Linked DNA regions of Arabidopsis thaliana. The protein of the gene in region 2 interacts with the protein of the main gene of each other region in a pairwise test. Each region holds a gene or a part of one and is shown on either strand. Other genes may lie near its edges. The genes, in order: BIM2, AT3G18960 and AT2G24700.

Region 1 (10,641 bases), on a different chromosome or scaffold from region 2:
ATGCAGTTTTTAGCAAACATGTAATTTTAAAATGGTCAAAAATATTAGTTATCAAATTTCTTAACAAAGTAACATAGATGATATTTCTACAAATGTTCCTTAAATTATAGTTTGTATGAATCTCCTAGCTTTACTTAACCTATTATTGTCCACCTTTGCAATAATAGGCTTTATAGTACAAACTACTATTGCAAAATCAAACTATCAATATTGTAAAACTGGAAACTAAAATAGATCTATCATTTTGTAATAAATACAAATATTTTTACGTTATCTGAAACCAAATATCTCAATACATACAGGCATTCAGACAAAAAGAGTATGAAAAGTAGATTATATTGGAACGATCGACAAGCTACGACTGCTATATATTGAAGTATAAATTAACAAAAACGTAACAATCAGAAAAGATTTGGATAAATCTCCAAAGAGATGGGCAACTTGGCTCGATCTATTCACCAAAATCTACCAAAATGGTCCACGTACCTATCAGCCTCACCCACAGGCCACTTTATTTAACCTCGATTCAACTTTATTTAGTCTATACTTGTGTCTATAGTAGGTTAATTCATTATTACGATTACACGAATTAACATGATATTATCAATACAAATAATAATATAGTTTGGCGAAGGAGTGGTCCCGTCGGGGGCAGAGAGTGGTCTCTGGCTGCATACAAAGATTTGAGTTCGACAACACCCCAACCATATATTCTTTCGTACCTATCACTCTCCATCGATCTATCTCTTCTTCTTTTTTTCCCCAAACCATATTATTTCTTTTTATGGTCTTTTTGCTGAAAATCATAACTAGTTTTGTTCTTCTTGTTGTTCTCCTGCTCAAATATAGTAAAAGCGTACTATAGTTATTGGCAAAAACAGTTGTTTCGTTTTCTATTGTACTGTAGAAGATTCACAAATACCATGTGTTAGCAAATTTGAGGTCTAGTTGTGCTGGTTTTATCGATTATTTGGCGTTCCTAGTACCAAAATCTGCAACACAATATAGTTATCATAAGATTATTGTAGTGGATATAAAATGTTGTTATGATGTAAGTCTAAACCTAACTTTAAAAATAAAAATTGGTAGAGTTATGGACTTAATTATGGTGTCAAGTATTTCACACTTTCACTTTGTTTCAAACACTTATTTTATGTGAATACTTCTTTTCTTAAACTTGAAACATTTCATATTTAAAATTATAACCCATATTTTCAAACGAAAACAAAATTATCCATTGGCCAATAGGAAACTAGGAATGGTGCGACCAATAAACTCTTAAAAGTCAAACACCTCTGCGTGACTCAGAAGTTTCCCTCCGCGTTTGCCGTAACGTTACCTTTAATTTCGTCAGTAACGCAAAAATAACAGATCCGAAAGAAAAAAAATCAACACACCGAGAAAAAAATGGAAGATCTATGGAAGAGAGCGAAATCGTTTGCAGAAGAAGCAGCGAAGAAATCACAAACCATAACACTACAATCATCTTCAACAACATTCGTCAATCTCGTCACCGAAACCGCTAAAAAATCCAAAGAGTTCGCTCTCGAAGCTTCTAAGAAAGCTGATTCGATCAATGTCTCCGAGTTCGTCGCCGAGACGGCGAAGAAGTCAAAGGAATTCGCTGCTGAGGTTTCAACGAAAGCGGATCAGCTCAAAGTCGTAGCATTGAAACAAGCTGATCAGATCCAGAATATAAAATCGATTGCCGACATTATACCTGGAGGATTAGGAGGATCAGGATCTGGTGGTGGTGGTTCTGAGATTTCTGAATCTGAGCTTGTTAGTTTTGGTATTACTGATGATTTGAGAGAGTTTGTTAAAGGTTTGACATCTGCTACGTTCCAGGCTTTTCCTGAACAAGGTATTGTTGTTTTGTTGTTGTTGTTGCTTTATCTTTGTTTTGGAATTGAGGATTTGAAATGTGTTATGGTAAATGTGGATTAGATGAATCGTCGGAAGTTTCTGATTTGGAAACAAGTGCGTCGAATGTTCGGAAGGATCTTTCTGAGTGGCAGGAGAGACATGCCACTCTTGTTCTTGGTTCTGTCAAGGTAGATTTTTCGAATTTGAGATTGGAATTAGTTTGATTAGTTGGAGAAGCTGATCTTGCATAATTGGTTTAGTTATAGATTCATCTCTTCTGTGCTACATTGTTTGATTTTGCATTTTGTGTATGTTGCAGCAAATTTCGAAGTTGAGATATGAACTATGCCCACGAGTTATGAAAGAAAGGAGGTTCTGGAGGATATACTTTACCTTAGTGAGCACTCATGTTGCACCGTAAGGATCTACCATCTCTTCTCAAAGTCTGAAAATGTTATCGACACTAGACTGAGAATTGCATTAAGCGCATAGGAGGTGGTAAAGATAGCTTAAGATCTCTATATTTGTATGACTAGGTAGTCTCATAGCTTAATCACTGCAGCTTAAGTTTGGTAAAATGAAACCATACGTAATTATATGGGAAATGGATTATACCTTATCAGCACGGATTTGATCCAGAGACAGTCTTAGTGAATTCTCTTGTGGCTGCAAATCATCTATTCTGCCTCTAGCTTGGTCCAGTATATCTCGGAAAACCATGTAACTCACAAATGAGAATATAAAAAACAAAGGAACATGACTGAAAACATATAGAAGATCTTGACACCTTAGTTGTTTGTGTATTTCTGAGAAGTGATTAGTGAATTGAGCACCCTTGTCTTTCATTCTTATGAGACTTGATAGCTGCATGAATTAAGCGGAAAGGATTTGTTTTGAATCAGATATGAAAGGAAGTACATGGAGGAACTTAGGAACAAAGCAGAGAGTAAAGATGAAGAAGCTAAGAAGAGTCCAGGGCTTGGAAGGACAGAATCAGCTGAAAAGAACAGAATATCTACTGCATCGTCTGAGCAAGATCTCGATACATTCCTGCTGGGAGATCTAGAAGACAGTGACGAAGCTCCTGGTGAGACACCTTGACTTGATGTAGCTTCCCAAGTTTTAGCTATGACTTAAATCCTGATTTTGTCTGTATAATCGTAAAACTTGCAGATGATGGTGATGGTGATGATGGAGGAAGCCTGGGTGATGATGACTTTGACAAGATTGGCAACTCTGTAAGTGAAAACGTTTGATTATTCTCTCAGTTCTTTAAAACATACAACAACAGAACATCTTGGTTTAATCCAAATCTGCCTTCACGTGTTTGCAGGATGTTGAGGAAGAGAAAGAATCAAATGCAGCAAAAAATTAGAAATATTATTAAGTTTTGTTACATACCCAATTGTTGGGAAGTAAATGAGGATGGTATATGATCTGTTTCATCATCAGTGATTCAGTGTATAGCTTTTGATGCAAAAGATGAAGACACATTTTATTCATTCGAATTCGCAAATTATAAAAAAACAGACTTTGATTACAAAATTATCCTAAAAAGCGAAACTTTGACATAAATATTAGTCGCTGGAGAGGTTAAAGTTTGCTAATGGCAGTAACATATCTTCTCCGGCGTTACAAGCCGGCGACAATATCATCAGTTTTGTCTTTCTCGACGAAATGTTTTGTTGGACGAACATCATCACTCTCTGTTCCAACGGAAGCTCCTCCGGTTCCAAAGAAGATCCCATTCGCAATCTCATCTCATGGGATCACAAGACAAGATCCTTTCCATTGGATGAAGAATACGGACGACACCGATTTCGTCGACTTCCTCAAGCGTGAGAACTCATACTCTCAAGCTTTCATGGCTGACACAGAAACCCTGAGGCGTGATTTATTCTCCGAGATGAAAACTCGTATTCCAGAAGAGATTTTCACTCCTCCTGAGCGTTGGGGACAATGGTTCATCTCTCTAATCTTGTAACTTTCTCTGATACGAGTATAAAGGAGTGAGCTTTTTGATTGATTTGGTTTAAGTTGTCTATTGAGCAGGTTATATAGACAATACATACCCAAAGGAAAAGAGTATCCTCTTCTATGTAGGAGATTGGAGAAGGGTAAAACAAATTGGCTCTCTGGTCTTTTTCGTGGAGAAGAAGAAGAAGTTGTGCTTGACTGGAATCAAATTGCAGAGCAGTTTGGTAAAAGTTCATTCCTTTAGTATAATGTTTCATTGTTAGTTTTAGAGTCATCGTCAGTCTCTAAGCAAGTGTTATGTGTACTACTTCAGGTTATGTTCATGTTGGAGTTTGTCGGGTTTCACCTGATCATAACTATCTGGCGTACACGGTTGATCCCGAAGGAGGTGAGCGTTTCATTCTCCAGATTAAGGATTTAAGAACTGATCGGTTAGTTCCGAGGTTGGAAGTTGATGGAGTTGTTAGCTTGGCATGGGCTTTAGATGGAATCACCTTGTTTTACACTGTTACAGATGAAAACCAAAGACCTCACAGGCAAATACAGTGACTCATACTAGTAGATAGATAGCTTTTTAATTTTATTAAACTTGGAGAGTGTTTGTTCAACTGCGACTAGTTTTTGCAGGGTTGTTGTCACAAATGTTGAATCAGATGGGAGAGATGATGCCGTAGTGTTTACCGAAAGAGATTCCAGTTTCTGTGTAGACATAACGACCACAAAAGATGGCAAGTTTGTTACTATCAATTCAAACTCAAGGACTTCATCCGAGGAATTTACCTCTTTCAACTGCATTTTTGTTTTTGTTTTCTTAGTGTCTATCATCGATATACTTTAGGCTCAAGCTGAGTTATCTTGTTTTCAGGTTTATATTGTAAATGCTGATAAGCCAATGGCTGGTTTGCAAAGAACTCGCGAACGAGTTCCTGGCGTGCAGTGTTTTCTTGAACATCACAATGGGTTCTTTTACATTCTTACAAATTCTCCCTCAAATGCAATTAGTGAGTGGTCTGGTGAAGGCTACTATTTGACTAGATGCTTAGTAGAGGAAATTGAAGCATCTGACTGGCAGACTGTTTTCCGTCCAGATGATGATGTGGTTATACAAGATATGGACATGTTCAATGACTACTTAGTGCTTTATCTTAATAAGAAAGGCTTACCTATGCTCTGTTCCATTGATATGCCCATAAAAGCAAATACGAAGGTATTTCTGATTAGTATTGCAGTTGTATGTTTTTTCTCTGTCGCTTTGCGTTCATACATTTTCACTAAAGTATGTTTCATTTGTGCAGCATATGGATGATCTTGTTCCCTGGTATTTTCCACTTCCAGTTGATTCATGCAGTGTTGCCCCTGGTTCAAACCACGACTTCCAGAGCTCTATATACCGAGTGGTGCTTTCGTCTCCTGTGGTAAATAAAGAAACGGGTTTCTCTATTTGTTTTAGCTTTGAACCATAACATAGTTTATTTGCATTTGAATTTTTCTTTCTACTCTGATACTTTCTCTGAATATCTTACTGTTATTGTTGGAATTGCAGATTCCTGACACTATCGTTGACTATGACGTGTCAAGAAGATTGTTCTCAATTGTGCAGCAGGAGGGAGGGGTTGTAGATAATTCTGATAGTAGTAAGCCATGGTACACAGCAGATCGCTCTACAGAGAATAACGGTCAACTTAATGATAGAACCAGCGAGGGAGAAGATGGTCAGTTAGATTCTCGAATGCCTAAATGGGAGGACTTATCTGATACATATGTTTGTGAAAGACAAGAAGTTTCTTCACATGACGGAGTTGAAGTCCCTCTTACAATTCTGTATTCACGAGAAGCATGGAAGAAGAGTGAGTCACCGGGAATGTTGATAGGTTATGGCGCTTATGGAGAAGTTTTGGACAAAAGCTGGTGCACAAATCGATTGAGTATGCTTGATCGTGGTTGGGTGATTGCTTTTGCTGATGTGAGGTCAGTCACTAAACATAACCAAAGCATTCAATTATCATTTGCTTCAAGTTGACATCACTTGGTATAATAGTGGTTGATTTGAATGTGCTTCTATAAGAGTTTTATTTTGGCCTCAGGGGAGGAGGCAGTGGGGAGTTTTCATGGCACAAATCCGGAACTAGATCGTTGAAACAAAATTCAATCCAAGATTTCATATACAGTGCTAAATATCTAGTCGAAAAAGGCTATGTGCATAGACATCATCTTGCTGCTGTTGGGTACAGTGCAGGAGCTATTCTTCCAGCTGCAGCTATGAATATGCACCCGAGTCTATTTCAAGCTGTGATTTTGAAGGTAAGAATATTATGGCATAGCAAATGCATTAAGTTGTGTCCAGAATAATCAAAAGCTCAAATCATTAAGGTGTGTACCATTTGGGCAGGTTCCTTTTGTAGATGTATTAAACACATTATCGGATCCAAATTTACCTCTCACACTCCTGGACCATGAAGAATTCGGGAACCCAGACAACCAAACTGACTTCGGATCGATCCTTAGCTATTCTCCATATGATAAGATACGAAAAGATGTTTGCTATCCGTCCATGCTTGTCACTACTTCGTTTCATGACTCAAGGCAAGCTAGCTTCACAAAAGAACCCTTAAACCCATATCTCTTTTTTGTTTTAAGTAAGAATCTTTGGATCATAGTTTGCGTGTGTTATTGGGTCAGGGTTGGAGTATGGGAAGGTGCAAAATGGGTGGCTAAGATAAGGGATAGTACGTGCCACGACTGCTCCCGAGCTGTGATTCTGAAAACAAATATGAACGGAGGGCATTTTGGTGAAGGTGGTCGCTATGCTCAATGCGAAGAGACTGCCTTTGATTATGCTTTTCTTCTCAAAGTTATGGGTCATCACAACAATAGATAAAAGCATCACATCATCTTTGGTTTAGCATCAAATGATTTTATAATAGTCTTTCACTTTAAGGTTAAGAGATTGCTAGCCTTTGATCTCGCTCTCTCAACAAAAAAGGAAGATCAAATCGGAAAAAAATGATGCAATAACTTGAAACCACAAGAGATCATATTTGATAGGTTACATGAATGATGCAGAAGATGATACAAACTCAGAACCACAAAAAAACGCAGAATCTACTAACCAAAGTTTATCTTAACGAGTACTATAGGAACCCCTAGAAGCCGAACAATGTACACGATACAAGGAATCTGTCAATACATTTATATATTCCAGCGCCGTGGAGCCTGAGAGAGAAATGTCACAGTGTTTTCATCCGCTTGTGAGAATGTTCAGATTCTTCCTCAACGCTTGAATCCCTTCCTTGCGTATCATATGATAATGGATTCTGTATAGAAAAATGTATCAACATCATGATATATGGCTATTGTTACAAAACTAAGTATGAAGCATTTCGAACCAACTATTTACCTTACTTGATGGCTCTTCATGAGTTAGACCTTGATTGGCTCGCTTCCCAAGATCGATCTGCACAGAAAGCTTTGCTTGCGACAGATCAATGCCTGCATTCTGGAGTGCTTGTGTTAATGAGCTCAATAACCTGGCCATTTCAGAATTAATGTCTCACAAGATTAGTACACAATGCAGTTAAAAAAAAAGGGTAGAAGCGAACACATCAATGGCAGCACAGTAACAGAAACGAGGAAGACTTAGAAGATCAGACTCACTCATGCGAGTAGGCACTAGAGATGCTAATGGTTCCACCTTCAATAACCAGGTCATTACTTTGGCCTAGCCCATCACTAGTTGCAGGACATTCATTAGCTTGTTCGCCTTGTACCATTGGAAGAATTGGTTGTAGTGGTGGTAATCCTTTGTCGTCTAACTCAGGTTGACTTTCAATCGATATGCCGGTTATAGCTCTTGCTTTGTCAGATTCAATCGGGATTTGCGGTTCTGCAATAATTGCAGGTGTCGAAGTCACAGTGTTGTCTTCAAACTTTCCAGGAAAAGGTATCCCTGGACCAGATCCATTATTTATAGCTACTGGGTGGTTCCCCAAACTTTGAACTCGCCAATGATTATTCCTCTGTTCCAATCAAGAAAACATAACCTTCAGCTAAAAGTCACACAAAGAAAGCCTTGCGGGTGCAAAAACATACTCAGAATCTACAATCACAGAAACTCATTGAGAAACCGACATAAGAAGAAGCTCAAAACTTTACCCATGGCGTCAACTTTGTTGGTTCCTGACTCCAACCTGGATACGATCCTTCATACTTTTGCACCTTCTCTTGTAAATACTGAACATAATCTATCACCTAGAATGGAATAGCGGTATTAAGCTAACAACATCTAAAAGACAGGATATTCGCACAAAGCATCATCAAATACCATGACATACCTCTAAAAGGAATGAAGCAGTGTCACGTTTTTGTTCACTGTTGGGAATTAGTTCTCTCAATATCTGAAATCTGAGAAGAGATTTATGAATTCAGCACTCAGAACAAGAACAATAATTATAATGTAACTAAGTCCTATATCAAACACCACAAAACTGAAGCAGAGCAAAATTCCCAAACACAAGTCCTAAGTATTCTTATGATTTTGTTAGCAAAGTAATTGAATTTTGATTCAGATATCAAAACAAAGAATGTCGCGTTTACTCCTAATCTCAAGTTCTCACAAAAACAACAATCCAAAAAGTTTGAAATCCTCACTTTATATCAACATACCTTTCATTGATTTTGCTTCTTCTACGTTGCTCAGTGACCGAATGTTTAGAACGTATCGCACTAGCTTTATCATTTTCCTTTGAATCTGCTTTCAAAATCAAACACCGAATCACACAGAGACAAAACTTAGAAAAATCTAATCCCAAACTATTCAAATCCATCTCGATACATATCAACAATAGCTCCAACCAAAACACAAATTGACGAAACAACAACTAAGAAAAATTCAAAAGTCTCCCAAATCGAACAATTTACCTCTGTTGCTATGAACAGTAGTGTTGGAAGAAGGACCTTCACGTTTAGAGTTAAAGTCTTCTTCTCCGTAATCTTCTTCCTCTTGATTTCCTTTTCCGGTTCTCATCTTCGCCGGAGAATTTCGACTGTTTATTGTTTTATTTTCAACTTTTGCCGTCGACGAGCTCTTTTTTGTTGCTTATTTGTTTTTTGTTTTTTGGGTGCCTCGTGACTCGGCTGAGTTCTAGTTAGCTGTGGGAGAGACTACGTGAGTTTACTTGAGCTTTTGTCCGTCAGTTTCGTGATTTGGAGACGTGTACGACTTGATGTGATTACCCGGTTAGGCCTCTAAATGAACCGTAGCTTGTGATGACACGTGGGATTCACGTGATAAGACGAGATTCTAACCTATCAGATTTAAGGTGGTCACGTGATGCACGTGGTCTCTTTCTGATCTGTTAATTTTCACGTACTATGTTTGTTTCTAATCGAACGGTGACATATGGCTATGTTTCCAAAACAATACTATAAAGGGCCGAATGGAATTATCAGACTTGGGCCAAACCCAAACTTTACAAAGGAAAAAAAGAAGTAACATATGCCTATGTTTCCAAAACAATACTATACCTTATTCGAATTTATCAGACATGGGCTAAGCCCAAAAGTTACAAAAAAAAAAAAAAGAGTAACAATACTATCAGAGCCAGGTTTCGATCCTGGGACCTGTGGGTTATGGGCCCACCACGCTTCCGCTGCGCCACTCTGATTTGTTGTTGTAATGTTAATTAGGTATATATTTATCATGGTAATGTATAACTCGTGCCAGAATATGGGCTTTGAGCCCAAATAAGAGCGTAACGGATCTGATAAGCGGGTCGGGTTTGACAAGATCCATGAAATGTGAAGCAGAAACCAAAGGTTTTATGAAGGGTTTATTTCGGCGGCTGTGTTTGTACTTCACGGCGCCTTCTCTTTTCTCCAGATCTCTCTTCTCTTCACCCAAGTCTTGTTTTTAATCTGTTCTTCGAATCTGAACTCTTTGATTTCTATGTTTGTATTAATAACTCTACAAAATCAAGTAGCTACATAGCCCGAGATTGTGCTCGTGGAGGCAGTAAACTATCTGAAGCAGCCACTATTACCATTTCGTGGCGATCACAAAAACGATTCAAAAAATGTGGAGGAACATTCTGGGAAGAGCTTCATTGAGAAAGGTTAAGTTTTTATCTGATTCTAGCTCCTCCGGTACTCATTATCCAGTGAATAGAGTCCGTGGGATTCTGTCTTCTGTTAATCTCAGTGGCGTTAGAAATGGTTTATCTATAAATCCAGTCAACGAAATGGGTGGATTAAGCTCGTTTCGTCATGGTCAATGTTATGTGTTTGAAGGGTATGCTACAGCTGCGCAAGCTATTGATTCGACTGATCCTGAAGATGAGTCTTCTGGGTCTGATGAAGTTAATGAATTGATAACGGAAATGGAGAAAGAAACTGAGAGAATCCGTAAAAAAGCTAGGCTTGCAGCTATACCGCCAAAGAGAGTCATTGCGGGAATGGGAGCACAGAAGTTCTATATGCTGAAGCAGAGACAGGTGAAAATGGAGACTGAAGAATGGGAAAGAGCAGCGAGAGAGTGTAGAGAGATTCTAGCTGATATGTGTGAGCAGAAGCTTGCACCGAATTTACCTTATATGAAGTCTTTGTTTCTAGGCTGGTTTGAGCCTGTGCGTAATGCTATTCAAGATGATCTTGATACTTTTAAAATCAAGAAAGGGAAGATTCCGTATGCGCCTTTTATGGAGCAGTTACCGGCTGATAAGATGGCTGTTATCACTATGCATAAGATGATGGGATTGTTGATGACTAATGCGGAAGGCGTTGGCATTGTTAAGCTAGTGAATG
Region 2 (9,342 bases):
TTGCTTTTCTTCAGCTTTCCTCTTGCGAGATATATACATAGACTGGAAAGAGGAAATGTAACAAATTGCTCCCTCAATTCTGAATATATTTTCATTTTTGCACCCTCAATCTTGTTTTCTGTAGATTCTATATTTGTAAATCAATACACACACGCTATGGAAAACCAAGGATTCAAGAGAATATTTTTTACACTAGAGAGAATTCAGACAGAAGGGAATCAACATTATCGGAAGTAGATTTTGTCCAAGGAAGATCTATCAGTTTACGCTGACGTGTATGACATTATTACTGTACTTTAGATAAGTAGGACCGGCCAAATATGCTGACGTGTAAAAAAAAAAAAACCACCTGGCCAACACGATAACGATTCCAAGTTTTTTTCACCGACATCCGTACCGGTCTATCCTCCTCCGCCTTCCAAAATCAAGGCAAAATCTGTGAATATCGGATACAGTTCTGGAGGGATCAATAGTTTAAAAAGCGTATGGATTGTCAGCGAAAGAATCTCTAGTGTTTTTTTTGCTTTTGTATAATCTGAGGTGGGTTCGTTGAGATTATCTGATCAAATGATATAGAGAGAGCTGTATGTTTCTGTTCTATGTTGTTAGAATTTTGTTCATAATTTTCGGATTAGCTTTTGAGGTTGATCAATGAAGCAGTAGACATCGCATAGGCGACACCATAGTCCATGTAATTTTTGAAATTAGCAAATTAGATGTTTTATCATCTGTCTCAAACTACCTTGAGGTAAAGATTTCTCAAATACGGGAGATTTGTTATAGGAAAACAGAGATGCGCAATGAATGACATGGGCAAAAGTGGAGTGGAGTGGAGGAATATAAGGGACACGTGACAGAAGCTTATTGGAGTGTTTGTCTAGTATGACAAGTGTTTGTTGTGATGATGCGCTTGAGGATATGATAATTTGTTGAAGACTGAATCCAGTGGTAGTAGCTAGCTCTCACTAGAAAGGGATTTACAGTGTAGGAGTATCTTAATTTAAAAACAACTAAAAAAACTCTCTTCTGGTCTGTGTCGTTATTGCGTCAGTGTCTCGTTTTTTCTCTCGGGTTTACTTTGTGTTATCGATGTGGATAAGTTGTTTTTACCTCATTATATATAACCTCTTGAGTGGAACTCAAATTGTTTGAGTAGAACAAACAAAGTTAGGGTTTAAGAAGAAGTCTGTAAATACCTAATCTCCATCAAATTTGGTACTTGTAGCCATGATGATGATTATGATGAAGATGGGTTTGTGCTGTAGATTCTTCGATATTTATTTTATCTCTTAGCTTTTGTTTCTCCTTCTCTTTGCCTTAATCCATTACAGTATCAGAGTTTGGTGCTTATGAGCTCTGTTTTTCCAGGACCAAGATTTTTGTCCTTGTTGCAACAGAATTCGAAAACCCTAATTCAAGCTAAGCAAATCCATGCTCAATTAGTCATCAATGGCTGCCATGATAATTCTCTATTTGGCAAACTCATAGGCCATTACTGTTCAAAGCCATCAACCGAAAGCAGCTCAAAGCTTGCTCATTTACTAGTGTTTCCTCGATTTGGTCATCCTGATAAGTTTCTCTTCAACACATTGCTTAAATGTAGCAAACCAGAGGACTCGATTCGGATTTTTGCCAATTATGCATCAAAAAGTTCGTTGCTTTATCTCAATGAGCGCACTTTTGTCTTCGTCCTTGGCGCTTGTGCTAGGTCAGCTTCGTCGTCGGCGTTACGGGTTGGTAGAATTGTTCATGGGATGGTGAAAAAGCTTGGCTTTCTATATGAATCTGAATTGATTGGAACCACTTTACTCCATTTCTACGCTAAGAATGGAGATTTACGTTATGCAAGGAAGGTGTTTGACGAAATGCCTGAGAGAACCTCTGTTACATGGAACGCAATGATAGGTGGATATTGTTCACATAAGGATAAAGGCAATCACAATGCGAGAAAGGCTATGGTTTTGTTTAGGAGATTCTCTTGCTGTGGTAGTGGAGTTAGACCTACTGATACAACCATGGTTTGTGTTCTTTCAGCCATTTCTCAGACGGGTTTGCTCGAAATTGGTTCTCTCGTTCATGGTTACATAGAAAAGCTCGGGTTCACACCCGAAGTTGATGTCTTTATCGGTACTGCACTTGTCGACATGTACTCAAAATGCGGCTGCTTGAACAACGCATTCTCCGTGTTCGAGCTAATGAAAGTGAAAAATGTCTTTACATGGACTTCAATGGCAACGGGGCTAGCTCTCAACGGTAGAGGAAACGAAACACCGAATCTTCTAAACCGAATGGCGGAATCTGGGATCAAACCAAACGAAATAACTTTCACTAGCTTGCTTTCGGCTTATCGTCATATAGGTCTTGTTGAAGAAGGAATCGAGCTGTTCAAGAGCATGAAGACAAGATTTGGTGTCACACCGGTTATCGAACACTATGGTTGCATAGTAGATCTTCTTGGTAAGGCAGGGCGGATACAAGAGGCTTATCAGTTTATATTAGCTATGCCTATAAAGCCTGACGCTATCTTGTTAAGAAGCCTCTGCAATGCCTGCAGCATTTATGGAGAGACTGTAATGGGTGAAGAGATCGGAAAGGCTCTTCTCGAGATAGAACGAGAGGACGAGAAGCTTTCGGGTTCTGAGTGCGAAGATTATGTCGCTTTATCGAATGTGTTAGCTCATAAAGGGAAATGGGTAGAGGTAGAGAAGCTGAGGAAGGAGATGAAAGAAAGAAGAATCAAAACAAGACCTGGTTACAGTTTTGTTTAACATAGCTTGTTACAGGTCAGGATTCAAAACACTACTCATTTTGCAATGAAAGTTTTTTAGTTTCATCAAGTCATTAATTAACATTACACAACAAATAAACTTGCAGGTCTCGGTTCTGTTAAAAGCTCTGTTATCCCCTGAAGACTCTCTTGTCTTCTTCTTCTTCTTTAAGCACATGCATTGGATTCATCACATCAAGATCTACACATAGATTAAAAATATTCAGATCCCAATCTTCTTAATCTATATTAAGAACAAAGTCTTCTTACCGTGTAGAATCTTGTCAAGTTCGATGTCTCTTGATCTCTTCTTGGATTTGTGCTCTGTATCACCACCATTAACAGATTGATTATTCTTCCTTGTACCTTGAGTTCCAACAAACTCTTTGCCTGTAATATCGATTATATCATCGTCGCTGTCAATGATATGAACTGCATCCAGTGGATATTTGGTCTCGCAAGCCGAAACATTGAAGATTATTACACGGAAACTCGAATTCTCCTTGTATTCGAACAAGAGAAAGTGGCCTTCCTCGATGGAATGAGCCTCTGCAAACTCACTCCAACCCTCATGGAACCAAATCTCTTCACCGATCCGTTTGAGCTTAATGGAACGCTTGAAACCCGCAGGAGTCTCTAATGTAACAACCTCTGAGAGTTTAGACCCTTGTAGCTTCACGAATCTTGGCGGAATCTTCTGCTCAAAGTTATTCAACATAATGAGATTTTCAGAAACAAGTAACAAAATGTCAGATCTTAAATTCTCTACATTTCTTAAGAACAAATGATCAGATTAGTGTATCCCTTTTAGATCTCTAGTCCAAGATAAAACAAAAGAAATGGACACTGTTTAGTGAATCTTCAGATATAGTCCCTAGAAATTGAAACAGGGATAACAACACACATGCAAACACTTTATTTCAAGTTTTTTCTAAGTGTTAAGTAATTACCATCATCTTATCCTTCATCGTTGAAGGTAAGACCAACTTGAAGAACTTCTTCACCGGCGACTCAGGATCTTGCTGTGATCGGCGGTGAGAGACGGAGGTGACTCTGGCCTTCGTGTTTTGGGTTGTAACCATTTTTGTTTGCCTTGTTCAGAGAAGAGAAGGTGAAAATTGAGAGTGGAGAGTGATGAGTGGAGAGTTAAAGCCGGAAAAGAGAAACCGATAAGTTTTTATCTGACAAGAGTGACAAAGTTGCTTTAACTCTATGTCGTTTTCCAAGACTCATTTTATACAGTTCTCTAGTCAAAAGATAAGTCTTACCATTATTGAAGTTATACCAGTATAAACCTTGTATATAAATTAAAAAAAATATCATGGAAATACGCTTTTATCAATAACCAATGTATAATTCGTTGCTACATGTCATAACAATCAAAGGCTAGTTACATCAAATAGTAAAAGCTTACCTACCGATAACAAAATATATTTTCTATACTATTACAACATTAATATAAACGAGACGAAATATATTCTCGAAAAGGATTCGTCGAGGCTTCCACGACAGTAGAACGATCACCTCCTCGTCGAAAATTACGTTCGTATTCTAACGTTGACGACCGGCAATTGGGAAACACGGCGACTTTCCCCGAAACTTTTGAGAGAGAATACAAATGTAAAAATCAATATAGCTGATAAAATCCAGCTAAACTGAAGATTCGCTAACGCTTGTGCCATAATTTCTGTACAAGGAGACTCTCAAACCAGCCCACTATGATCAACAATAGTACTGTTGTTACTTCTTGGTGTATCGGTCGTGGTTCTCAAGCAACCCCTATATGGACATAATTTGGATCTAAAAACATTAACCCCATGTTCAAGAACCAGCATCCTTGAAACATGAGCGAGGCCGAGAACACAAGAGACGCATAAAAAGATTTAGGGTAAATGGTCGACGCAAGAGCTGAAGAGAAGGAGACGAAGGCAGCGAATTCGAGGAGGACATGGTACTGGCCTTCAAGACCTAAGTGATCAGTGGAGTGAGAATCAAGAAAGAAGAGTACTTCTTGCATGAAAACCAATGTTGCATGAAGCCCGATGAAACCGGTATATATCCTTATCGGGAGGATTTATTACGTCAAAGATGAGAGTGGAAGACGCAAACGAAATGAGTTGGAAGACTATGCAGATGTGTTTGATTTCCGGTTTGAAAGACGATAATTTAAGGAAAGGGAAATCTGAGTTTAGGAGGAAAATGGATAAGAAAGTAACAATGATAATGACGATGAGCTCGAGATGTTTGAGTTTTTTGTTATACGGGAAAGGGAACCAGAATCATGAGGTGAAATTTTGGTTTGGGGAATTTAGAGAGTAAGATTGTATGGTATTGATTACATGCCAGAGACCGAGAAGTGCAAGTGAGAGACCAGGCACAAAATATCCTAAGAAGGTTCCCATGTTTTAAAATGAATTTTCGAATATTTGTTTAGGCTTATAAGTTTTTATTTTGATTATTATTCCATCTCTTTGAAGGTTTTGGATTAAGTGATGTCCTTATTTATGCTAGATGCATTAGGTTGAGCTTTCTACATCATATTATAAACATTCAAACCTGATAGTCAGCTAAATCTTTTGGGGAATTTGCCTTGAAGCTTTCTCCTTTTGAGGAAGTTGCCTTGAAGCTTTCTTTTTAACATTTTAGTTTTTTTTGTTCGGTTGTGTTTTGAACAAATAGGCTTCGGTTGTGTTTTGAACAAATAGGCTTCGGTTGTGTTTTGAACAAATAGGCTTCGGTTGTGTTTTGAACAAATAGGCTTCGGTTGTGTTTGGCCCAATGCCACTTAGCTTTTGGGTCTCCAAATCGCCGCTGAAGCTGTGCCGCTTTGGAGAGTTTCTGTCTCAAATGAGAATCTTGCATGTGGAGTCATTTATTGATTTTATTTAATTATAAACGGCTGCTCTAGGTTTTTTGAACTAAAAGCCTTAATATGGGCTGGGTTTTATCTTTAAAGTTGAAAAGAAAAAAAGAAAAAAAAAAAATCCGACCTGCCGGAATCGAACCAGCGACCTAAAGATTATCTGCAACGCCTACAGTCTTCCGCTCTACCAACTGAGCTAAGGTCGGTTACATTAATCCTCAAGACAAAACTATAAATATCCTAATATTTTTGAGGCTGTGAGTTATGAAAATTTATGATTAACTTAACAAGACCTATATATAATAGTCTACCATATATATAACAATTATAGCATTGAATAATAAAATAGTCAAGATTATGGGTTTAATCATTCTTAATTAATTAAATTCAAATGAACAAGAAACTACTGGGGATTTGCCTAACTACTGTGGCGCACAATAATTAACGTCGTTGTTTGTTGTTGTATCCTTAATTAAGAGAAAAACACAGAGACCATACCCAATTCAAATTATTTTCAGATATATGTTGCGTTTAGTTATATAAACGGCGCGTGGAAACCGGATTTGAACCGAATGTCAATGTGTCTTTCAAAAATGTTTTCCTATTAACCAAAGTCCGAGCCTCTAATCGATTTCCTTTTGGGATTTAGATTACTATTCATGAAAGTAAATCATCTTTATGTATTGATGAGTCGCTATATATATGCACCTTTCTTACTTAGTCGTGAAACAACTGTTCTACAAACTGATAGTCTTAAACCTAAAAAATAGATTAGACAAAAAAAAATTGTCGGAATAGATTTAATTATATATAAAAATATTATTGTTTGGGTACAAAACATAACAATCTTTCAGTCAAATATTTTATAATACTAAACTGCAAATGCTCGTGAGAACAAAAAAAAACACACACTAAAAATGACAAATAAAATTTTATAGTGAAAATCTGTAGACATCGTCATTGTTAATATAGTTGGGTTAATACACATAAAAGCAATCTACAGAGATTCTTTTCTACGAATCAAAGCATATTTCTACTACTTAAATTTAGGAACTTCATTGTCATTAAAATTATCATTATGAATTTTACAATTTAGAACTAATTAACCAAACTCTTAAACTTCTAAATTGCTTAATAGATCAAGATTTATCAGCTTTTCGTGCTATTTGAAAATATGAACAGAAGGGTGGTGTGTGCATGTCTATATGTCAAATGTCAATGTGTAGAAATAGCAATACATATATCCAACGAAAAAGAAGACTTTTTACTTACGTTCTTGAAGACAAAAAAATAGAATATTACAATCCTCTCCGTTTTTCCAGTGGCTAATTCTTTTTCCAACAAACTGAACGTCTGAACCAACAAATCAACCTAACATACGAACATATTTCATCTTATATAAATTTCTTATTAATTAGTTTTCCTACTAGATCAATATGAAATAACCCAAAAACTCATGAGGTCTCTCATTTAGCTAGCTATACATGATCTATCTATGTGGTACTTTGTTTAGGTTTATAGGTTTGATGTGGTTTATCAGTTTTTTGGATTTTTTTGCAAAAGCAACGAGTATTGGTTATAGCCTTATAGGTTTAGTCATTGATCATTTGTATACTATAGTCTATAGGACCATTTATTAGCCTCTAAATAATAATCTGTTCACATTCTCGTACATTCGTCCATGAATTTTGTTTCTTTCTGTAATCATATAAGGTAATGTTACAAAAAAAAAAAAAAAAAATGTTACAATTTATTACTTAGACTTACGAGTCATGACTAACAATGGTCATATTTTCAGAGCGAATACTAATGCAACCAATCATACGGCAAGAACAACTGATTGTATTTATACTTCTGGAAAAACAAATTTGTCTGATACTGTACTTGTAATTAATATCTTGAAACCAAGATCTATTATTAATTTAAAATTTATTAGAAATAATAAGGGAGTGTTTGGATGTCAATGCGCATTCATACATGTATAAATGTGCACCAAACTTCTTAATCCCACGAAAGTGAAACTTTTCACATAAGTTCATGAAAACACCATAAAAGTTTTAGCATCCCATTTTTCAACGACTTCTTTCTTTTCAACAAATCAACCTATAAACGTAAGTATTACAAGTCTTCAATTCCATTTTTCTCTTGTAAAAGATTAATGGTAAAATAACAAAAGCTGAGTATTAAAATTCCATAAAATAAGATATAAATAAAATGATTTAATACAATGAAACAATATTGTCTAAAACGTAACTCAAATATGTGCAGTTACTCTTTACAAAGAAGATCGAATAAACTAGAAGAACTTTCTAAATCAGTTAGATACTTTCACGACATGGCAGTTCCCTATTGGTTGTATGAAATGCTTCTTTTAGCCGGCCATAAAAACTTGCCTTGACAACAACGGCAGGGATCACATGGGCCGCGGAACATTCTTCTGTTTCATAGTCCGCATCACCATTCACCACGCGCTTAAGGCGGCGGCGGCGCGTGTACACTTCTCCTCAAGCATATCTCAGCCAATAACCGTAGACGCCGACTCCGTCACGCGCCACACTTTAACCGATTTGTCCAAGCTCCCACTGTACACTATCCATTTCTGATCTCCTTTCTCTCTGTGGCCTTCGCCGTCATCTTCCACCGCCGTCAAACACTTGACAGGTCCCACGTGGTCCATCAATACCGAGAGACACGAGTGGCTACCATCACCGTTTCTCCTCCACACGCAAATGTTCTTATCCGCTCCGCCGCTTAAAACCAGACTTCCGGCGGCGGCAAGGCAGAGCACCGCCAAACGATGGCCGCGGAGAGTTCCACCGTGAGAGAGATACTTCTGTCCTTCCCAGAAATTAACGGTACCGTCAGAAGAACCACAGTAAACAACAGCCGCCGTTATATTAACCGCTAACGCCGTTACAGCGTTCTCTTGCTTCATCAACACATTAACAAGAAAATGCTTCGTCCCTTTGCCTTGAAGCTCACGTTTCCACACTTTCAAAGTTCCGTCGGCGGATCCGGTGAATAGCAAATCGTCGAAACCAGCAGCCACCGTGTTGATCGCGTCGTCGTGAGCTTGAATCGATTCAAGACATTTTGAATCAGATAATCTCCAAACTTTGAGAGTCTTGTCCCACGAACCGGAGTAGAGTAAACCGAGCTCTTCGTTCAAGCTAAGACACGAAACGGCGTCGTAATGACGAATCTTGAGAACATTTTTCCGACGACGAACCTCGACGTAGTTCTTTGGATTCACTGATTTCGTCAAAAACTCTTTCAACGTCGGCAAGCTTCCGATTCGTGAATAACCTCCGGTTCTTCTTTTAGAACCTCTCCAGACCCGAATTTTACCGTCTTGATGACCGGTGAAAATCCGGTTATCTCCGGTTATCACAATCGCTTTAACTAATCCACTGGTTGATTTAAAGCCTGTGTGATCCTTGAGATCTTTCCAAACACGAATGTTCTTGGAATCGGATCCAGTGAATAAAAGATCTCCAGAAGCAGCCAACGAGTAGACATGACCGTCTTGTCTCACGATTGTACCGATCAAACCGTTGTCGGTATCATCATCAATGTTTCGGGTCTGGTAGATCCAAGGAGACTTGTAGTACGGAGAGTAAGTTTGGTTCCACGGTGAGGGAGACATCGATGGAGTGTTTGTTGTGTCGGTGTAGTACGGAGAGTAGGTTTGGTTCCATGGCGATAGAACTTG
Region 3 (10,692 bases), on a different chromosome or scaffold from region 2:
GTTCTTCAGGTTCGAGTATTATGCTCAGCCCTAGTGATGACAAAAGGAGAGTAAGAAATAGTGTATGAAAATGTAAAGTCGTATCCAAAAAGATATTATATATAGATGCATCCTTCAAGAATCTAGTCAAGTTCAGAGAATCCTCTCCGATATAAAAATATCCCAATGTATCTTCTATCTCTAAAAAATGCAAATCAATCTTAAAAAACATATATATACTAGAACCAAAGCCAGTCCTAAAAAATTATGTCTCTGATAGAAGACAACATAAACAATACCATTTTGGTTATATATCTTTTACTAAACAACAAACACTCCATCAACTTAACAACCAAAAAGGATTAGAGTAAGACATGAAAATCTTAACATACTATAATCAAACATTATTTTTATTTCCCGGACTTGGGACAGAATTTAAATACGGGCCTTGTGTCATATTTGTACATACATTCTAAGGTGAAAGACTTTCCAATCTTTACGCCATTAGATTCACAGAAATATCTCCAACCACATCCTACAGATACGATTCCATCTCTTGTCAATAGATCTCCCCACCACCACTCCATTTCATTTATACCCAACATATATATTTTTCCAACTTTGTCTATGCCATTAGCTTTCATGAAGTGACTTGGAAGACGCTGCAAGATATTTGATAAACACTTCTTGTTATTGATTAGAATTCAAGATATATAAAAACATATTGATCTCTAAATCAAGGGTTTATTTTATAAGCTTACCAGCATACCGGCTTTGACATCTTCTGGTACGAGTGTTATCACTAATCGGTTTTCGCTTAGTGATGCTTGATTAATCATCTCCTCTGTGTTCTTGTCTTTCTCGGGTTCATTTCTATTTCTAGCCTCAGTGGACACATACTCTTTCTCACAAGCTACTGGAAAGTTCTCTCTACGCTTCCTTTTATCACTTTTGGAAGTATTTGTCCCATACAAACTGAGAATAGGAGAGTCATTTTCCCAAATGGACTCCAGTGTAAAGTACTCACCTATCTTCAACCTATTGGCTTTCGCAAAATCTACCCATCCCCTTCCCAAGCTCATTCTTCCTGTGCTTTCCCGTAAAAGATTAGCCAATATCCTCGTACCATCTGTTCCCACTAGTGTTACCATCTTTGGTTCGCCCAAGCCATTATTTTTCAGGAATCGCCTTGAGAGATACTGAAAGTATTTGAAATGTGAATTAAATGAAATACACTATCTTGCAATAAAACAAACAAGAGTTTTTACTTGATGAAAAAAAAACTCACCAATCTTTTGTTTCTAAGACAGTCAGGTACGAGTCTTACAGTCACGAATCTCTCCTGGTTTGGTAACTTTTTATACTTGATAATAGATTGAGAGGGGGGAAAATAGAGCAAAGGTGTTTCCTCCTTTATCGTTAGTTCGAACACAAAAAAACTTCCTACCTTTTTCCCGTTTTCGTCACAGAAATGTCTCCAACCTCTGGTTATGCAAAAACTATCTAAGTTTTTGTCGAACTTCAGATCCATTTCCCATGATCTATCCCCTCCATCTGTTAGAAAAATCTTGCGGCATTTTTTATTTAGACCATTAGAACTTGTGCAATCTTGTGGAAGATACTGCAAGGGTTCACAAAAGAAGTGTTGTCAGATGAAGAAGAGCCAGTGCCAGTGTTCACAAAAACAAAGGGGTTCACAAAAGGGCTAAACAATTTAAGTAAACGTACCAGTGCATCTTCCTTTAGATTTGAAGCCTTGACAAGGGCTACAAAAGAAGAGTTGCCAGATGAAGAAGAGCCAGCTTCGGATTGTGAACTGTTCTTCCTCACTTTTTTTACTCTTTCAAGCTGATCTGTGTCAAATAAACAAATCCCACATGTTAAAACCATCTTCGGATCGAAAACTTTATGTTTTTAAAACTCATCAAACTAATATAGAACGGAAGTGATGATGAAACCGGTCTTGTCTTGATCATCATGACCTTCTTCTGTCCTTAGACGCTGATGCTTCTTACTTGTGTAAAACATGTAAGAAATCTCCGTTCATATAGATGCAAACAAGGCTTTTTTTTGTACAGATTTTCGAAATCTTTCTTCAAAGGATTGTTCTCTCAACTCAGATCTGACTATAGCTCGTTGATTAAAAACGAAAATCATCAGAACAAAACGTACCGATCTTGTTGATATCATTGTTGCTGGGCATGGGTTTGTCACGGATGTCACAGGCGCTGACGTTGAACAGCATCGTTGTCAGTGGAGAAGAATTAATTTTGATATTCTGGTCGGAGAGAAAAAGAGACGGAGATGAAACTGTGTAATGTCCGAAATGATTTTAGACCCAACAAAGAAAAAAAACCTAATGTTCAGATAAGAATCTTCTTTTACCTTTTAGAGAGCATGCACTTTTGGGAAATTTTTAAACATGGGCGCGTACGTAGACTAAATAATTATGAGTTAAATCTAGTTGATGATTTTGTTAAGGAATTTGACCAACCTTGGTTTTGCTTATACTTTTTAAATTTTTTGTTTTATGGGGCTTCTAAAATTCACCTTTCTTTACTAGATGTAACTTTAATTTATGAGATGATTTGTTAACGGTTATTTATGAGAGAAATTAATATTTCAACCAAATTGACGGATTATTGTTAAGTGGTTAAGCTCCCGCGCAAAACTAATATCTTTTTAGATTGGTTGAAAAGCTGAATCGGATAAGCTATTGGATTTGTAAAATTTATTTTTTTTTGTTTTTTTTGCTTCTAAGAGTTTTTTAGAAAACTTTTTATTCTTAAGAAGTTAATTTGATGGATAATAATCGTTGACATGGGTTTGTAGTTTAATTTGGTATGGTCAAGGTTTTATTCTTAGGAAGTTAATTTAATGGATAATACTCTTTTTTACTAGATAAGTTCCCCCGTACAATGTTTTTAACAAGCTAAGAAGTTAAGTCAGATAAAATATGGGTTTGTAATTTAATTTAGATTGGTCTAGCTAGTTTTTATTAGTTTTCCATTCAACGTTTATTTTTTTTAAGTAGGTCTTCTCGTGGTATGTCATAGATTCTGTTTTTTCTACATCGATTATAGTTATGTTATACAATAGTTTTGAGGGTTCATCTAATGAGAATCTATGAAAATCCACAACATGACCTCTCAAATTAGCATCTAAGTATATAGAAATACACTAAGTCTCCTTTAGCTTAGTAAAATGCTATATACACATGTATTATAAATACTAGTTGTAATATTATGATTCGATTATGAGAATTTACTTTCTGATTATGAATAATATGGTATGAGAGCAAAGTGCTTAACAAACTTTCTCTCTTTCTCGTTCTTCTCTATTTTCCCGGAAAATTAAAATTTTCTTTATACATGTGTTATTTTTTCAAACCGAAATATACCATATATATATGATACATTATTGTTAGATTTTCTTTTATATCATTACATCATATTTCTAAAATATATTTTTCTAATATGAAAAACAAGAGATATTTTCCCTATATTTTATCTTTATTTTCTTCACATTAAAATAAAATAAAATCATTTGATAATAAAATAATTAAGGATTTTTGTCGGTTTTTGTGTCGGCAGTTTATGGTATAATATCTTATAATTTGTTTCTGTTTTTTTCCTCTTCACTTTACTATAAATGTGAGAGATTTTCCCTATATTTTCCCTTTATTTTCTTCACATTAAATAAAATACAAAGAAAGATCAAATCATTTGATAATAATATAATTAAGGATTTTTGTGTCTGCAATTTATGATATAATATCTTACAATTTGTTTCTGTTTTTTTCCTCTTCACTTTACTATAAATGAGAGAGATTTTCCCTTGATTTTCTTCACATTAAACAAAATACAAAGAAATATCAAATCATTTGATAGTAAAATAAGTAAGGATTTTTGTCCATTTTTTGTTTCTGCAATATATGGCTTAATATCTTACAACTTGTTTCTGTTTTCTTCCTCTTCACTTTAATATAAATGACTCTTCACTTTAATATAAGTTACATTTTCCTATATTTTATCTATGATTTTCACATCATTTAAAGTAAAATATAAAGATAAAAATATATGATGATAAAAAAAGATATACAGTATAAGATGTTAATTTTGATTTTTTGCTACATGTATAGCAGATAGCCCTTTAATTAGAAGTCTATCTCTACTACATACTGAAGTATGAAGTTTATGATTGGTGTCGACAATCAAGATGTTTAGTGACCCCCAAAAATAATTATATAAAATCTTTAACGATTCTTGTTTAGTAAACCAATATTATCTGAATTAATGATGATTTAAACGGCATTTTTTAACATGAAAATTAAACCATAGAAGGAAAGAAGTTTATTTGAGCGATGATCCTAGACATTCTTAATATTGTTCTCAAACTTTGGAACAAAACTTAAGAAGAGGAACTGTGTCTTCCCAAATCAACTCCAAGATAAACGACTCATTCATCTCAACACCATTAACCTCGCAGAAACCTTTTGAACCTCTTCCTAAACTCATTGTTCCGATCTTGTCCATCAGTAGTGAAGTACGCCATTTTGCATCGTATCTATCAACCATCGTTATCTTCCCCGCCTTTTTGATTCCATTCCGCTTCATGAATTCAAACGGAAGATTCTGTAGATACCATCATCAGATTATATATCGAGAGTATTAAGTGGAAAAAAAAAAACAAGAAAAAAACAGAGTTTTCTTGTGAAACTTACAAGTTTACTTGAATGTGTAAGTGTTAAGGTCACAAATCGGTTTTGGCTTGTTGAGTTTTTCTCTTCTGTGGAAACATATTCTTGTTTAATAGTTTGTGAACATTGTCCTTGCCTTATATCTTCATTGATAGGTTCAGCAAAAGGAAGAGTATCTTTCTCGCTAGCTTTAAAGGAGTCATTACAGTAAACTTCTTCCCCAAGAAACTCATTTTCTGTGGCTTCCATGCCAAGAAACTCTTTTTTGGTAACTTTTAAACTCTGTCCATGCCTTGTGTCATTGCTAGGATCTGCAGAGGAAGAAAGTGCTTCTTGTTATTCAATTTTATTTCAATATTTTTGTTTCTTGAAAGAATAAAGCATAAACAACTTACTAAGTTTGTGTAGATCTTCACTGTTCAAGGGTAACAACTGGAGCACAGGTGTTTCTTCGTTATGGACTAATTTGAATTTGAGCAAGTCTCCTGGTTTCTTCCCATTAGCCACACAGAATCTTCTCCAACCTCTTATCGTTAAAAACCGGCCTGTATGTGCCTCATGTTTCACATCTATCGTCCATGATTCTCCCTCTTCATTCATTAGACACATCTGAAATTTCTTCAACAAACCATTTGACATAATGAACGTCTTCGGAAGATACTGCAGTCAAGTACAGTCACCATGAATATCATTAAAACACCTCTCAGTCAAATCAAAATCAATATATGTAAGTCAGGAGTATCATAACCAGTCTATCTCGGCTTAGATTTGAAGCCGTGACAGTGGCTACAAAAGAAGAAAGGTCCGGTGAAGAAGGAGCTGCTTCTGTTTTTCGAATCTTGTGTCTTGGAAGACTCTCTGTATCAATTATAGAATCTGATTGAGATTTTTCTCAATAACCAACGGATTATGAAAATTAACTTACGAAGTTTGTCTAAATCTTCAATGGTCATAGGGAACAACTGTATCATAGGTGTTTCTTCATTTTTGACCAATTTGAATGCAAAAACGTCTCCAGGTTTCTTCCCATTAGCAATACAGAAACTTCTCCAGCCTCTTCTCATGTAAAACCGGCCGTAATTATATGCCTCGCGTCTCAAGTCTATCTTCCATGATTCTCCTTCTTCATTCATTAACACAATCTGATATTTGTTCATCAGACCATTTGACAATGCAAACTCTTTCGGAATATACTGCAAATGCCGCCACAAGCCAAGTTAGATAGAGTTATCAAGAATATACAATAACATAAAAATTACTGTAATGAGTAATATGGAAGTAACATACCAATGTATCGCGCTTTAGATTCGAACCCGTGACAGTGGCCACAAAACAAGAATCTAGTGAATTGTCTGGTGCAGACTCAGCTTCTCTCTTTAGACTCTTTTTCTTACTTGAAACATTCTCCGTACCACAAAGTTTCTCTGTTGATAGATTAAGTAATATTCTTAGACTCATTCTAAATGTGCTAATGATATTTAATATGAAACTAAGGTTACCAATTTTATCCTCTTCAAGGGTATCTTCTCCGTATTGAATCTCACAGCAACTTGGTCCTAAAGCTGTGACATGGAACACTAACTCTCCTTCTTGTCTGAAAACAACAATGTCACCAACTCGGAGATCATGTGCGATTGTGAAATCTTCCCAACCATTAGAGAGTCTCCGGCCGTCTATCTTCACTTTCCATGTCATCTCCGATGCATCTGATCTGAGCTCAGCCGTTTTTCCTACGTTAGTTCCCACTAAGTACTTCAAGAAGAACGCCACAGGAATGTCCTGAAACAGCATGCTAGATGAGTTACAAACAGAAGTAACTTAACTGGTCGGAGAGAGTATAGAGAAACAGAGTACCAGGTGGTTGGTGAAACCGGGAAGAAGTGGTTGGAAGAATTGTGGGTTGATCGGAGAATAGAGAAGTGGATTAGCCATATTCAGACGTTGAATTTTTTTAAGTTTTTCTTCTTCTGAGCGGAGAGAAGATGAACTAACAACTTTGTATCCCTTACTTCTGTAATGTAAAAAAATAACCTTTCTCAGCTTTCTATACAAAACGTCAAAGAAACTTTCTCAGCTTTTTCTATAAAGCAATGTTAAAAAAGACCTTTATCAGCTTTTTCCAAAGACTATATATTGTTTTCGAAAAAAACAAGTTTTGACTGAGAATAGTGTTGGGATTGAACATAAAGACTCTGATTGGTTATGGAAAATATTCATCAAATAAACTTAGCAAATATCAATGAACGAGAAAAATAAATCTTGAGAAGACATTGGTCTTTAACCAAAAGAAAGAAAAAAAGAAGAAGAAAAAGATCTGAAACTAAATATGCTTAATTCAACACGTAGGTACCATAATAATGTAAAAATAGTTTACAAGAAATTAAATCTTAGGAAGTGAAAACATTCATGTTTGCTATCAAAATATCATATGGTTTTGACAGTAAATTAGTTAGTTACGTTGTGGATTCGTTTTTGTCAAAAAGAATAAGAATTCGATTCTTTGTTTGCATTTACGTTTATATTTTTCAAAAAGTGAGTTTATTGTAAAACTGAAAAACGTTTTGTATTTTTAACAATGTAAAAGAATATTTTAAGTACACGCAAAAAAGGCTTAAAATAATAGTGTGTTCAATCTTCAATGTAAGCAACATTTCTCTTGAAACCACAAACAAAAATCACGAGAGGGAACTATTTGTACATCAGTATTCAGTAGCACTGTAGGAATACGTATCACGTGCATCTAGGCTATCTCTTTATTCCCCACAAAGCAAAAAAAGAAAAAATCCAAACTAATCACTACAAAGTACAAAGCGCAACGCACCAAAATATCCATCTTTTCTTTTGTTTGTGAACAGTTCCATCTATTGTCTCCTTTTCCAGTGAAAACCAATATGTATTGGGTCTGAATGGAAGAACAGAGGAGTTACGGATATAAAGCAGAGCAGGACAAACACAATTGTATCTTAATAAACCAATATATCCAGTTATTCACCTGTACTTGGTTTTGTCCTACTACAATAATAGATTTGCATTTGAATGCATTTAAGTATATTAAAAAGTGGTTAAACTAACACTATTACTACAATTATCCAAATTATTTTCGTTTCTAATATTTATTCTTTCTATTTTCTACTTCTATGTTAAAATGTCTTAATTGTCAAACTATGAAATCCACATCTCACTTTGCGCTGAGACCACATCTTTTTTTCAGCATAAACGTGAAAATTTCTTTAGATTATATTAACTGCATATAAGTATAACCCAAAAAAGAAAAAGTATAACCCTAATTCCAGATAAGTTAATATGCTACTAGTCGTTAGCACATAAGAATTTATAGCATTAGGTTTAATGTCTTGCATAACACGTAATAAAATCTACCTCTATTGTAACTTTGATAGTCTCTCTTAAATGGGTCATTTGTTTCTGAAAATCCTTATTTACAAAATAAAGTACAATTCTTCATTCAAAAGAAAAAAAAAGTACAATAGTTTGGTATAATAATAGCATATGTTTTTTTGTTAAATTAAAGACTGTCTTGGTCATGAACTTGAGACATATTTAATTGTGTCTTCCTCTTGACAGGCATTTGTTGACTTGATGAACACGGACTCATCTCTACCTTATCGAGGTACGAAACCTGGTCTTTCGCTAGGAAACAATATGTGAAATTTCCGAGTGCCATAACACACACAAGTAACACGCCAACAAACAGAAACAAGAAACTGTCTATGTCAAGCTGCCTAGAGGTGAAAGAGGGATTTGGATCTGGATTAGTAATTGGATCAGGACAGCTTTGTTCTTTCTTCTTGAACCATGCACGCTCGAGCTCCATTGCCTTTGGAGACTCTGCTACTTTTAAGATGGCCCTTGAAACATCGGCCACTAGAGGTGATCCGATTGGAAAAACCTGCGAAAAAGGACTTATGATCTCTCACCATTTAATGCAATTTTCACATAAGTTTTGATATAGGAACTTACAAAGCCGAATCCATCAACATTGAAGGGTTCTTCAACCATTTTGTATGTGTTGCAAAACTGTCCAAGAAAGAGTCTCAAGTAAGGTATTTCCAAGAAAGCTCCAGAGACACCACCTTTTTTTGGTCCTTTACTTAGAAGCTCATCACATTCTTCTGCAGTATCAAAGGGCACAAGGCTAGATTGCGGGAAACCTCTTTCTTTAAGCTTTCCAAGGATGAAGGATGTTCGCTGATAACCCACTGTTTCTCCTTTTTCAAGCAAACTACTCATGCTGGTTATTGTTGGATTTAATTTCTGTGATGTCAAAAGCGATGCCAAACTCGCTGTGTAACTCTGGGTTAACACGAGAACGAGAAAGTACCATGCGATAACCAGGGCCCTCGCCCAAAAGCTAAATACTCTTTCTCCTGCAGACAGGGAATCGAGAATAAGAATCAAGCAAGGTGCATGATATATAGGAACATATATATGCTGACATGTAGAGAGGGGAGATTAAATGTACTTGGAGCAAAAACCATGGTAGAGAAGGCAAACCAACAGATGGTACTAGCTTGGAATCTAGGCGGTCCACTAAAGTCCGGATTACGCTTATATTCGAGAACCCATACAGTACAACCGACAAGGAAGAAAGAGATAAAGGAAGTCAACCATAGTTTCCATGACAAAGGTTTCATGAAAAGTATATAGTCTCTCTTTACTGGGTCTGTCATTTCAACGATCAATCCGACACCTGATTTAATAAATGGGAATGTGAAGTCGACGTAAGAAGACCTGTTCACCAATATGGTTGTATCTCCCACAACCGCATCATATCTCTGTGACAGAGAAGCAAATAAGAGTTCACTTAGTATAGTTATAAATGCTATATTGATGAATGATTAGTATGTGCTCATACTCACCCCGAGGTACACTTGGTAGACCAAGTCGTTGTAATTACCGGCTGTTTTTCCGTCGGGTTTTTCGAAAGGTATGAACTCATATGAGACGTCATAAGGCAGTTCTCGAATCACAGCCTCAAAGAAATCTATGCAAAAACCTGTGACTACAGTTGAATTGGTAATAGGATCCCTTGTGACTTTCACAAGATCAGTGTAGCCGGTTCTTTTGGGAACTCCAATACGCAACTTCTTCCCCTTAGTCGGGATCTGCCATCCTTTCGGAACAGAATCCGCCTCTCCAGGCCATACAATGTGTTTAAGATGATCTTTCCAAGTAGATAAAGCGCTTATGCTACTTGCTTGCTGATCAAGTTTCTTCACAAGACCATTTCCCTCCTTCCAAAATCCTATTGATTTTTCTCCGGTATTGATTATATTGACAATCTCAAACACCGATGGTTGCAGTTGCCCGCGGAAAAAACGAAACTCTCCTGCAAGTCCTCTGAACTGAACTGTTAAGAGTGTTTGGAGAAGCTTTGGACCGAACTGAGATAAACCAAGAGCTTCAAGTTCAGAAACATTCCTCCCTGTATCCACCACTTTACTGAAAGTCATGTTATTTGTTCCAGCTTCTTCAATGGCTACCGCTAGTGCGGTGGTAGCATCATAAGCCCACAGACCATAGACACTCAGCTCCACCCGTGGGAATAAACTTCTCCATCGAGATCTAAACTTCTCAAGATCTGGGGATTTTGGAATATAAGTTTTAATACCCAATACCCCCTCCATAGCCTCAACAGCCGTCTCATTTATCAAACTTAAGTCATCGATAACTCCATTGGTAAGGATCCAGACATATCCTGGTTCCATCAAACCAAGCTCTTTTGCTTTAATGAAGAATCTTGAGGCAAGATCATAGTACATGTGGACAAGGAACACTCTTGTGGGCATGTTCATCATCTTAAGAAGCTCCACGGAGATTTCATGATCAGTGGCATTGATAGCGATAACGGATCTATAAGGTATCCGGACATTAATATCTTGTAAAGCATCGGTAAGACGAGGCATTATACCTTCACCAAAGGTGTTGTCAATGTAAACTGGCACAACTTCTCTCCATCCGAACAATTTGATGATGGCTTTTATTGGTTGAACTTG

What was found.
Region 1: the proteins of AT3G18960 (region 2) and BIM2 interact in binary tests that used the Arabidopsis thaliana proteins (3 or more experiments, as listed by UniProt).
Region 3: the proteins of AT3G18960 (region 2) and AT2G24700 interact in binary tests that used the Arabidopsis thaliana proteins (3 or more experiments, as listed by UniProt).

Annotation. Positions count from the first base shown.
Region 1 is NC_003070.9:25,940,029-25,950,669, reverse strand, and holds BIM2 (BES1-interacting Myc-like protein 2), read right to left. Parts: upstream 9,042-10,641; 5' UTR 8,867-9,041; coding exon 8,761-8,866; intron 8,591-8,760; coding exon 8,506-8,590; intron 8,245-8,505; coding exon 8,175-8,244; intron 8,092-8,174; coding exon 7,996-8,091; intron 7,860-7,995; coding exon 7,498-7,859; intron 7,371-7,497; coding exon 7,241-7,370; intron 7,158-7,240; coding exon 7,071-7,157; 3' UTR 6,722-7,070; coding exon of another isoform or gene 6,523-6,721; 3' UTR 6,427-6,522; downstream 1-6,426. Other genes in the region: AT1G69030 (BSD domain-containing protein), read left to right, coding at 1,408-1,864, 1,948-2,054, 2,186-2,283, 2,769-2,953, 3,040-3,104, 3,200-3,241; AT1G69020 (Prolyl oligopeptidase family protein), read left to right, coding at 3,473-3,828, 3,919-4,067, 4,157-4,379, 4,471-4,615, 4,709-5,050, 5,139-5,258, 5,387-5,811, 5,928-6,144 and 2 more; MGP3 (male gametophyte defective 3), read left to right, coding at 9,915-10,641. UniProt on the Arabidopsis thaliana protein: Positive brassinosteroid-signaling protein.
Region 2 is NC_003074.8:6,537,125-6,546,466, reverse strand, and holds AT3G18960 (AP2/B3-like transcriptional factor family protein), read right to left. Parts: upstream 4,012-9,342; 5' UTR 3,850-4,011; coding exon 3,718-3,849; intron 3,530-3,717; exon of another isoform or gene 3,486-3,529; coding exon of another isoform or gene 3,465-3,485; coding exon 3,038-3,464; coding exon of another isoform or gene 3,012-3,037; exon of another isoform or gene 2,970-3,011; coding exon 2,899-2,969; 3' UTR 2,791-2,898; downstream 1-2,790. Other genes in the region: MEF20 (mitochondrial editing factor 20), read left to right, coding at 1,350-2,768; AT3G18957 (uncharacterized protein), read left to right, coding at 4,660-4,718, 4,839-4,932; AT3G18950 (Transducin/WD40 repeat-like superfamily protein), read right to left, coding at 8,146-9,342.
Region 3 is NC_003071.7:10,508,679-10,519,370, forward strand, and holds AT2G24700 (Transcriptional factor B3 family protein), read right to left. Parts: upstream 6,734-10,692; 5' UTR 6,611-6,733; coding exon 6,533-6,610; intron 6,458-6,532; coding exon 6,178-6,457; intron 6,103-6,177; coding exon 5,966-6,102; intron 5,872-5,965; coding exon 5,604-5,871; intron 5,537-5,603; coding exon 5,427-5,536; intron 5,339-5,426; coding exon 5,074-5,338; intron 4,990-5,073; coding exon 4,703-4,989; intron 4,614-4,702; coding exon 4,371-4,613; 3' UTR 4,206-4,370; downstream 1-4,205. Other genes in the region: AT2G24696 (transcriptional factor B3 family protein), read right to left, coding at 390-641, 741-1,178, 1,268-1,333, 1,427-1,600, 1,708-1,832, 2,152-2,224; GLR2.3 (glutamate receptor 2.3), read right to left, coding at 8,202-8,585, 8,657-9,063, 9,159-9,471, 9,556-10,692.